3 linked regions of the Arabidopsis thaliana genome follow. The protein of the gene in region 1 interacts with the protein of each later gene in a biochemical or structural test. Each region holds a gene or a part of one and is shown on either strand. Other genes may lie near its edges. The genes, in order: E2F3, DPB and DPA.

What was found.
Region 2: the proteins of E2F3 (region 1) and DPB form a complex in vitro, tested with the Arabidopsis thaliana proteins (one study listed by BioGRID).
Region 3: the proteins of E2F3 (region 1) and DPA form a complex in vitro, tested with the Arabidopsis thaliana proteins (one study listed by BioGRID).

The regions. Positions count from the first base shown.
Region 1 is NC_003071.7:15,117,820-15,121,573, reverse strand, and holds the start of E2F3 (E2F transcription factor 3), read right to left. Parts: upstream 1,986-3,754; 5' UTR 1,887-1,985; coding exon 1,611-1,886; intron 1,575-1,610; coding exon 1,425-1,574; intron 1,095-1,424; coding exon 908-1,094; intron 856-907; coding exon 814-855; intron 774-813; coding exon of another isoform or gene 720-773; intron 636-719; coding exon 461-635; intron 335-460; coding exon 283-334; intron 185-282; coding exon 126-184; intron 45-125; coding exon of another isoform or gene 1-44. Other genes in the region: EMB3114 (Mitochondrial transcription termination factor family protein), read right to left, coding at 3,392-3,754. UniProt on the Arabidopsis thaliana protein: Transcription activator that binds DNA cooperatively with DP proteins through the E2 recognition site, 5'-TTTC[CG]CGC-3' found in the promoter region of a number of genes whose products are involved in cell cycle regulation or in DNA replication.
Region 2 is NC_003076.8:840,779-844,532, reverse strand, and holds the start of DPB (Transcription factor DP), read right to left. Parts: upstream 2,046-3,754; 5' UTR 1,818-2,045; intron 1,724-1,817; 5' UTR 1,692-1,723; coding exon 1,441-1,691; intron 1,066-1,440; coding exon 986-1,065; intron 848-985; coding exon 804-847; intron 583-803; coding exon 520-582; intron 427-519; coding exon 280-426; intron 198-279; coding exon 129-197; intron 30-128; coding exon 1-29. Other genes in the region: AT5G03406 (Class II aaRS and biotin synthetases superfamily protein), read right to left, coding at 3,089-3,187, 3,370-3,462, 3,582-3,711. UniProt on the Arabidopsis thaliana protein: Involved in the regulation of the G1/S transition. Increases the DNA binding activity of E2F proteins after heterodimerization.
Region 3 is NC_003076.8:543,080-546,833, forward strand, and holds the start of DPA (Transcription factor DP), read right to left. Parts: upstream 1,877-3,754; 5' UTR 1,636-1,876; exon of another isoform or gene 1,351-1,635; 5' UTR 1,345-1,350; coding exon 1,226-1,344; intron 1,139-1,225; coding exon 1,077-1,138; intron 994-1,076; coding exon 950-993; intron 711-949; coding exon 639-710; intron 551-638; coding exon 410-550; intron 316-409; coding exon 247-315; intron 26-246; coding exon 1-25. UniProt on the Arabidopsis thaliana protein: Involved in the regulation of the G1/S transition. Increases the DNA binding and the transactivation activities of E2F proteins after heterodimerization. The complex DPA/E2FA promotes cell division and acts as a regulator of the endocycle.

The sequences.
Region 1 (3,754 bases):
TCTTTTCATTTTCGCTCAGGTCTCTTAATCTTTCCTCTGTTTGTCTGAATAAAAGTTGTTAAAGCGTCAGCATTGGTTAAATAGATTAATCACAATAACCCAAAACTCTTTAAATGAATGCTTACCTGATTTGGTTGTCTAATGCTTGCTCTTCGAGGGCGAGGTTTTCAATTTCTGCCTGCAGCTACAAAACAAGAACATTAATCAAAGGAAGCGAGAACTACATGATATTTTAAGATTTACATGCACAATGACTTTTGAGTGTATGCTGTTTCACTACACCTGTAATACAGATACGTCAGCATCCTCATCGCCAGGACACGCATCAACTCCCCTAATCAAGTTTATTGATCATCAAGTGAGTTTACATGTAGTTAAATGCTTTCAGTAATATCCCAATGAAGCAGGATATGCTTTCAGTACAAAATACATAAGCATACTATATCATAAAAATCCTCACTTCCAAAGTATTCGATTCTTGAAAGGCTTTTCAATGAGATCTATCCCCTCCAAAACGTTTGTAATATCATATATACGTCGTTTCTGCACCTCCAATGTTTCTGCAGCTTTGTTTAGGTCCAGCATTCCATCTTTGGCTTGTTTAATTAGATTGACGAACTTTTTTGTAAGGAGACCTGAACAGCTTTTATGTCAGCATCTTCATATACACTATAACATGTATCGAATATTAAATATATATGTGAAAAGTTGTTAATTACCTAAAGAACTGTCATAACGACAACTTCCTGATGGAGTAAGTGTGATAGGAGAACCTGCAAGTTGACCAGGAAAGTAATCAGCTCTTCGACTTACTTGTTACTCTAGACATGAAAGATATTTCATAAAAGGATCTAACTATATAGAAAGGCCAAAAGGGGTAGAGAGTCAAGAATACAATTCTTCTTACCAGCGTTTGTCGAGATGGGTGTTTGAGGAGTTGACTTGTTTCCTTTGGCCTTTGACTTGATGTTGACTCTGCCCCCTTTTCTAGGAGTTTGACAGGGACTGCTAGGTATGTTAGTGAAACCAGAACTCGTGAATCCATTATTAGATGGAGCAACAACCATATCCATTGTCGCCTTTCTCTTTCGTGACTGCATATAAACAAGTTGTTATTAGCTTAAAGAAGTTGGTCAAAGAAATATCATCCAAAAGGTTTTAAAGCATCCACACACAAATTATCTATATCATTCCTCATAAACTTTCACAACATTGGGATCTACTTGAAACATTATACATTAACAAACAATGTCAAGCTTCATACACCAATACTTTGATATCAATAAGCTAATGCTCAACACTATGTGAACATTCAACACCTCACGCAACAATCAGAGCCAATTTGGCATGGCAATTGGAGAAATTGATGTCTGATTTGCGTCAATTGGGTGTAATTGAAACGCAGTGTTATGAGCAAAATGTACCATCGCGAAGCTAAACAAACGACAAAAATTGACACGAATCGACGATAATCTAACGCTGCGAAGCTTTTGAATCAGACTTAGAAGCAACAAGTAGCAATCGAAATCCCCAAAACATCCTCGAATTTCTAAACCAATCTCACTGGGGAAAATCTCTAAATCGAAGAATCAAAAGCACCCAAAACTCACAGGAGATCTAACAACGACAGCATCTTCCTCCCGATCTACAACACCACAACCATGAACGAAGCTCCTGTCGTTATTATTACTGAGCGAAGAAGGGTTAAATCGATGGTAATCATCGGAAGGATGAAACGGAGGTTTTGTTGAGGCGAAAGCTAAGTGACGACGTATAGGTGGTATAACCGGCGTAGATGTAACCGGAACCGGAGATGACGGTGGATGGTGCGGCGGCGGCGGTGGCGGCTGAGAAGAACCGGGAGAAGATCGTACGACACCGGACATGGATCGTAGTGAAGCGAGAGTCGAATTTGAAGATTCCGATGACGGGAAAAGCGACGGCGAGTGAAGGAAACAAGGGTTTTAGTGAGAGAAAGAGGAAGAAGAAAAGAAAAGGAGAGAGCAGAAAACGAGGGAAGGAGGGAATTTTATGTTGGGATAGATGTGGAGGGAAGCCTATAGCAATAATAAATAAAATGTTAAGGAAATAAATATATACTTTTTTTTCTTTCTATTTGTGCCCCGGGATTTTGTATTTAGTTTTAGATTGACCCTACTTACTTTAGGGAAATTACTTTTTGTGCCTTTTAGTAACGGGAATATTGAGATTCTTTTCTGTTCTTTATAATGGTGAAGAAGAGGAGATCATGCATATATATTTTTGATCTAGAACTTGTTTTTTGAATCTGAAATTTTTATTTAAATGTGTGTAGTCGGTAAACAGATTTCTGCAAATAGATTGGGATAGAGTTTGTTTATAGTACATGTGCTGCTGTTTCCGTTATGATATGTGTAATAATATTTTTATTTTTATTTTTTATCCTTTTGTATTGATTAGTGGTTGTTGTATCATGTATGGCAGTGGAAAAACTGATGCGAAGTGTAGATTAAGTCTAAAGTCACTTGATGAAGGATTCATAATTCAATTCAGTATTTGGAGGACTATAATATTGCACATGATTGATGTCATTAATTAGTATTAACGACAAATGAGTGATAGAAAATAGTTAGAAAGGGTAAATAGAAATTGGTAAAGACCTAGATTGGCAAAGTTTTCGTACCGCTTTTTTCTTGTCCTGCGCCGTTAGCTTATTACAGGTCACAAGAAAAATGGTTCACTTAGAGAGTGTGAGGCATTGTTGTATTGTAGTACCTTAAGTTCATTCATGTTCATTACGAGTGTACCCCATTTGAGCCGAGAGAATGTAAAGTCGTTATCAAGTTGAAGCCCAATAAAAACGGATTTAAGGCCCAAAAAAAGAAGGAGAACGGAAACAGAGAATCCGATCATAGACCACTGGCATTTCACGAACCATCAAAGGGACTAAAAGCTCTAGAACCAATTCTCCCTGTTAAGACTTAAGACCAATAACTAAACCGTTACGCTAATCAGTTCACACATTCATCATCTTGCCTCCAATTGTAGAATCACAATTCTCTGCAAATCGCAACTCTACACGGTTTCTGGACTTACATACACTTGATTTCTCGTTCACTAACAATAACTAGACCGAAATACATCGGAATCGTGAATTGTAAATGAACATTCTTTCTCTTATCAAGATTTAACTCACCATCCCTGTGTGTGTCTCAAAATGTAGGCAGAGGCTGGTTTCTTCATTCATTGAGTTCTTCATCATCATTCATTACAAAAATGTACCTAAAAACAAAGCAAACCCCATCAATTCTCACCAATTCTCCAACTCCATTAAACAAAAAAACAACAACAAAAAGCAAGAAACTCTCACTCACTTGCTTCCATGTTCTCCTAGCACACAAAACTCTATAAATCAAGAATCTTTTTGTACAGTAACAAGGCGAGAGGTCTTCAATGGCGGAGAAGAATCACAACATACCTCCAATGTATCTCTAAAACCAGCTTCATTAGTCTTCAACATCACCGGCAATGGAAACCTCACACCTTTCGCAGCACAAGCTTCATGTCTCGGTTTAATCCGATTCTCCAAACTAAACGAGAAATACTGAGGAAACTCAAGAACCTCTCTAACATCTCTCCCCATCTCCACCATCAAATACTTCAACTTCGGCTCATAATTCTCAGCAATACTGTAATTAAACAGCTGCGGGAATCTCTTAAACATCGCGGTGGCGCTCCGCCGCGAGAATCCTAACTTCTCGAAGTAATCAATCCG
Region 2 (3,754 bases), on another chromosome or scaffold:
CTCTGTATCAGATTCTGAAGGCCTACATACTTTCAGACATACACAGAGATGATAGAAGGACCATGTAAGAATCTATGATAAAAGTAACAGGAAGCAGATAAGCCGAGAGTATCGATGATGTTCATTACTTGTTCTTCCAGTTCTTGGGAATATGCAGTTTTCTTCTCAATTCTGTTCCTAAGTGAGAGTCGTTCGTTCTGCAAAACAAAATAATTCAAATTCAGGAAAATTCTCTAAACAAGCTATGGAACATCTGCACATAGAATATGTGGTTGAAACCTTTAATTCTTCAATGTCGCTTAAGCTTGTCCGAGGAAGACCTCTCCATTGAATTTCTTTTTTATCCTTGGATATTATATCCATAGCCATGAGGACGTTTAAAGCATCATATACTCTTCGTCTTATGTTTTTCTCATCATACTGTTGCTGGTAAAACGTTTTCACATGATATAATTTCATCAGAGTTCACAACGAGTATTGCACACGTTCCAGGGTAGAAACTATCGAAGAAACGCATACCTGATCAGGGGATGTTCCATCGTTATTTGGAAGTGCAAATTCAGCAACAAGCTCGTCTGCAACCTGAAAGTACTATCACCTGTTAGATACCGTATTACAGAGCTACACGTTTGCAGTACTAATCATGAGACAAATTGATATTCCCATATGTGATCTTGACAAGTGTTTAATCACACTGGTAAGCACAATAAATCAGTATCATCATATAACATAAACAGAAGTGAATGGATCTTGCAAAGCATAAATACTGTGAAGCTTTTTGTTTAAAAAGGAAACTACCGTACCTCATTGTAAGTTGTCCTTCCTTTGCTTTCCACCTTTTCACAAACTGAAAGGAAGGCCAGACGAACATAATATCAGTTAAATGTATAACCAATCTTAAGAGGCATTATCCACACAATTCATAGCTAGAAACTTGAAAGGCATTTAGATGAAAGCATAATAGGGGCAGAGAAAGAGATAAGACCTTTCATACTAAATTGACGTAGTCCTCTTCCAGTCTTATCTGGACCAGCCGCACGCTGTCCCCTCTTCTTCTTCTTAACACTGTAAATAGATTATATGATCAACTAAACTACACAGAACACATGTAACAACTTCCACACAAAAATTAACGCACAAAGACAATGGCCTAAACAGTATCTTTTGTCCCAATAAGGATAGGAAAGATGAGTATTCAAATATGCAGATTATTAGTAGATTTTAGACTAATACATATCAGGAGAGCCAAATTCAAGCTTGTAAAAGTATGATCCACACATCATACTTACATCTACTGGTTCAGTTTCATATATTCATTAAGCTCATAAAAGCAGCCATTGCAATAGAATGAAAACCCTAAAAATCGCTAAACCAAACATCACAATAAACACATCAAAGCCTTTTAATATAAAAATCACAGAATTGAGGTGGTTTACATACCCAGAAGCTCCTTGAGAACCAGCATCATCACCTTGAATGTCCAAATTATTCAGGCGTTGAAAAGTAGTGTCGCTAGTAGATGTAACAACGGTGATGGTTTGCTCACTCCGGCTCGACGGAGAGCCCATACTGCCGCTAGTAGACACAGATTGACCTGAAACCGCCGTGCCCCAAGACCTAGTACTAGGGTTATTGTTGTTATTATTGCTTTCATGGTGGTTGTGATTAGAATTAGACCCAGTAGTTGTCATTCTTCTTCCACCTAAAACTAACTACCGCGCTACTGGAGAATTCAATAGAAAACGAGAAAGAGATTTGTTAAAATTTGTCAAGGAAAGTTTCTGATTTTGACGAAAACCCAGATTTTGAGTACTGACCTTGAAAATCGACTTGGGTTTTTGGTTATTAACGAGAATTAGAAGCTTCAATAATGGCGGATCAACATTAGAATTCTTAGTGTGATACTACTCTGGAAAGGTGGTTTTCGCGGCGGAGAGTTAATGGATTTCGCCGGAGAAGGAGGAGGATAAGTCGATCGGGGTTGGGAGGCTTGTTATTTGTGCGATGGTGAAAAGATGTCCACAATGAGAGAGAGAGAGAGGGACCAAACTGACTCATAGGTGAAAAAAAAACAAAAAGTTAAAGAAGATAATTTTCTTTACTTTTTTTTTATTTTACCAAAAGATTAATTCTCTTTAGTGAAATTTAGGTCTTTTGTTAATCAGAATATAATACTGGAATTATCTTTTTATTTTTATTTTGGCTAAACACTAAAATTATCTTCGTCTTCTTCTTTTGTTGGCTAAATACTGGAATTATCTACCAAAATATGTTTATATGGCTTTAATAAGCATGAAAACAAATATAAAAAACATACATTGATACATCATAATGTAGATGGATGATCAAGTCAAAAAGTTAAAAACATGTGTGGTTGATACCACTAGTCAATCACATTCGATATGAATTTTCATTATATGAAATTTACTCATTCTAGTGTTGATAAGATTTGAGCTTTTAGGAAATATAAACATATCATGTTCATCCTCTTTCATTACTAAAACTGGAGCAAAAGAGTTTTTCTAGTTCCGAAGATTATGTGATAATGTAGCTTAAGGTTCACGAAAGGCACATTTTCTTTTCTTTTTAGCATTTCTCGGTTTGAAATAAAAATCACATGCCACATGTGGCTGATTCGAAGTCAAAAAGTATATTTTGTAAATCACTATTAGACGAATAAACGAGTATTGAAGATCCATCAATAAAATTCTTAATGAAACCTTTGAGGACAAAATAAAAATCCAATCTCAACTCAATTGCTTTTGAAAAAAAGGACAATTGAACAATTTGTTCAAGCCTTAGATACTACTACTCCAAGTCATCAAGTTTGACTTGAAATTGCTCACCTGAAGACAAAACCTTGACACTGACCGAACCAACTTCCCAACCAGAACCGGCCTTCTTGCGTTTACCCGAGCCGCTCTCTTGAACACCCATTTCAGCGGTTTACTCTCCAATACTAAATCAACGGTTTGCCCTTTGTCTTTAAGAGCGGTTGCAATGGTGGTTGCAGCTCCTTGGAGATCTTTGTCCAAAGCACACACGATGTTCTCTACTTCTTGTCCCAATTCTGGCAACAAAGCAGCTGTTAATTGATGTTTAGATTGCTAACCTTGTCTATAATGAAGCAAACTCTTCCAAACAGGTCTTCGGGTACACCATACTTTTTTAAAAATTCTTGTAAAACCTGTACAAGGAAGAAGTTATGGGAGATGTTAGCTACAGTGGATATTCAGATGCTGCAGATCGTGCAAAATAATCTCAACTCATGTTTAGCATTGCAAGTGAGTTACTTGGTTCTGTATCTAGAGTGTAAACCAAGAAACAAAATGATCATATCACATCAAAAGAGAACGTAAGCAAAAATACCTTGCGGCTTGAAACCTTAAAACCCACATCTGATGCAGTGATTCCAATTCGCTTGAAGAATGTCATTATAGATGAAATTAGTTCTGCTTCAGCCTAAAAGAAAAGGTTTGTGAACCAAATTAGCCGGCTTATAGAGACTTTAAACACAGATCAGGTTCATATAACAAAAAACTAGAAGGCCTAAAGTGATTAAAGGTATGAGAGATACATACTGTAACTTCAGGCACACCAATAATATCCATATTCCACTGGTAATGCTCACGTCGCCTTCCTCGTGTCATTCTCTCATATCTCCAACACTGCCCAACAGCAAACCACTTCAATGGAAGGGAAACAGATTTTCTGGACCAAAAAGAATATGGGAATCAACATTCTCACATCCTTA
Region 3 (3,754 bases), on another chromosome or scaffold:
ACATAAGACTCTCAAGACTTGAGACCTGATGATAACAACATTTGAGTAACATTATAAGCAAAACGTAGAAAGACGGTTTAACATTTCATTAAGACAACATAAAATGATTCAATACACGACGTATCTATGGATTCTAGAAAACCTGCAATATCAATAACTTTTGTCATCTATTGACATGCATAACAAGATCTCAAATTCTAAGAGAGTCTTGTATTTAAATTTTCCATCAAACAGAAAGAAGATCACCTTTTCTCTCAACTCTTTAAGAAAAGCAGCCTTCTTTTGCACACTGCTCATAACTTTATTACGATCCATCTGCAAATAGAGGTAGAGAGATTAGTAGAGAAGACGAAGAGAGAGAGCAATTACATAGATGAGATAACTGAAAGGAAAAGCTTGGAAGCTAAACCTTGACTTCTTCCACATCCTTTTTGCAGGTAATAGGAAGTCCTTTCCACCGGATTTCCTTTTTATCCCTTGCAATAATATCCAACGCCATGAACACATTGAGCGCATCGTAGACTCTCCGCCTTATGTTCTTCTCATTGTACTGATTGAACATAAGAGAATGTTGTTATAGCTTTTTTTTTTTCCAAATAACTCAAGACAGATGATATGAGCTTTCCATCTCGCTATACCTCATTTTCATTCAAAGGCTTCTCTGCGTTTTGCTTAATTGTGGCAAAATCTGAAATAATTTCGTCTGCAACCTGGAATCACAAGAGCCACAGTCTCAAACGTAGATTTTCACATTTTCTGATACAATGCCTCTATATAAGGGCAAGACTCCTGATTAGAAGAAGAATTTGAGACAATGCTCAACAACTAACTTAGAGGATTGCTTCTTGAAGTGAATACTTGTTCATATAAAGATCAATTCTAATGCGTCTTAAACTGAAAACTCATTGATTACATCACCAATTCCTTAATGGAACAAAGAGAGTAATACCTCCTTGTAAGTAGTTATCTTCTTGGCTTCCAACTTCTGACAAACTGTGTGAAGTTAAATCAAAATCAGCAAAACAACAATACTTTCACTTCAGGCATGTTTGAGCTAAGAGAGATATATCACTGACCCATAACACTGAATTGACGAAGCCCGCCTCCAGAAGTTCTTGATTGCCCTTTCTTCTCTGATCTTTTAAACACAAATTCAATACAGACATTTTAGCTCCAAGTAAAAAAACCAGAGACTTTGTGAGTAAGAAGAATAATTAACACTGACCCAATTTCAGAATCATCATCAACAATCAATTTCCTTCTCACTGGAGTTTTCTCAACGCTCACTGAAGGATGTTGCCTCTGCTTCTCTGGAGTGACAAACAACTCCATCTCCATACTCATCCTTCTCTACACAATTTACCAATTAACAAAGTTAGCTACACGAAATCAAATCAATTAGTTGTTCATGTCTCAAATCCATCGTTGACTAAAACCGATGAATCAATAGACACAATCTAAAAAACCCTAAATTGTTGACAGCTCCAATTTCAATTTTTTAACAAAAGCTAAACAAAATTTATGAAATGGGAATCATCAACCAGTTGGATTAGATCTAACGATGGTGAAGAAAACCCTAGTTCAGAGAAATAAAGGCTAAAGCTCGAATCCGTTTCAAAAGATCAAAGAACGAACCAGTGATCGATCTTCCAATGGCGGAATAAAAAAAGATGGAGATTTTTTTTCTAGGGTTTTGGTTTTACTCTTTTTATTACACAGAGATGCGAACAACAACCAAAAAAAAAAAATCGGAGATGAAATTACTTTGGGTGAGAGTTCCCGCTATAAACAAACAAACAAACTGTAACAACAAACAAACACAGAATTCTCCATAGCCCATCAAAAGCCTCAACAAAAACAAAACACACGCACTCTCTGTGTTCGAACCCAACCGCTACGGTGTCGTTTTTCAACTTTGGCGGGGGATTTAAATGGGCCTTTTGTAACTCTTTGTAATTTTAAGCCCGTTGGGCTAATTATATGTCTAAAATCGATCACGTATTAAACTCTTTGATAATCGATAACGTTACCAAATAAATAATGAAAATTTGGCTGTCTCTATTACATATGTTGACAGTTGTGTTTGTATTCGATCCAATTGTTTAAAAAATAATAATATTAAGTTCACTGAATCTTGAAAAAATGTTTGGTACGTATGCATTTAAGTTATTGAAAACATTATCGCTAGCTTATAAAGTTTATGATTTTTTCGTCTTATATATAAGACATGGTCCGTATCATCAACTTGTAACTATTAAAAAAAAAAACTCACTATTCTCATATACTTTTTATTTCTTTTCTAAGATGCTTATAGTTTTACACGTTAGTGCTTTAAGCCTGCAACGTGTGAGAAGGTTGCGTTGCACTTTCACTAGATCGAAAGAATATATGCATAGTTGCTTGATCCTTTTTCTTTTTCTTCTTTATACGATGATCGTACTCGTATAGTACTGAAAACTATATGATAAATTTCAGCATAACTGTTTGTTCAAGTTGTTAACCGATTAAAAGCTTTAAAGTTTGAAAAAGGATATGTTTATGATAATTGCAACCACTTGGTACTTGCCACTTGTTCTCCATGATTGTTTTTTTTCTCTCCATATGAAGATTAAATTAAATTATTTTGTTTGTAGTTTTAACTAGTTCGAGTTGATAAGAAAGTTTGGAGCATGGCCATGAGAACCAAAGCTGTTCCTAGTTCCTACGCTGCTTGATTGCGGAGAGTCATTCTCTTACTCATTGCTTCATCATCATTTCCAACCGTTTAGAGTTTCACTAGCCATGTTTCTCTTCTTCACCTCTTTTTTTGTTTAACCTTTATGTATACCTTCCTTCTCGTATACCTTAATCAGACCGGTATGGACTAATCAATTCCTCATGCTATTCATAGCTATGCACTATCATAAGATTTTGAAACAATATAACTTCAAATTTGATTTGTTTACTTTGATGTTTCTATGTGTTGTCAGAATATATAAATATATGTTTTGTCATTACAAAAAAAAGAAATAGTGTGATCTATTTAAATGTTTGTTTGCTGTTTGTATATCTGTCGTTGTTTTGGGAGATGAGAGGTGGCAACTCCCAATATCTTTTTGGGGTCATCTTCAATGTCTTCTCAGATCTCAATTATTGAGTTTTTAAAGTCATGTTTGATTCTTTCTTCTCTTTTTTTTGGTTCACTAATTCTACTCTTTAATTAGTCTTCTTTTTTTGTCAACTTTCGTTTATATCACATAAACAATTATATCTATTGCAGTAAATATATTATTCATAATGTTCAAGTGTCCCTTGAGGAACTGAACATACAATAAACAAAATAATGTTACCGTATCATATGGTATGCGTATTTATTCCAGTAGCTTTTTCTTTCTTAACATCTGAAATCTAGTAGAGTAATAGACTATTTATTTAATTTTGGAAATTTAATATGTTTTTTATATTTTTCCTATGTTTGCCCAAAATTGTTTTTACACAATCATTACTCGCCTTCATAAATTAAAAACTGACATGGTGAAATACATCAACAAGCTAATATGATACTCATAAAACTGACTCAAAATGCATTTTTTTTTTTTAAAGTAAAAAATATGTTGTCCTCGTAGTTATCCTCAAACTCTTTGATTCGATTGTTTTAGAATTTATAATACACTTAGATAGTCAACAAAGCTGGATTAGTTAATTAAATTCGTAGGCCGATGTATACTAAACACTGATGATGACGCATAATCCTACTTCAATGGATAAATAACTA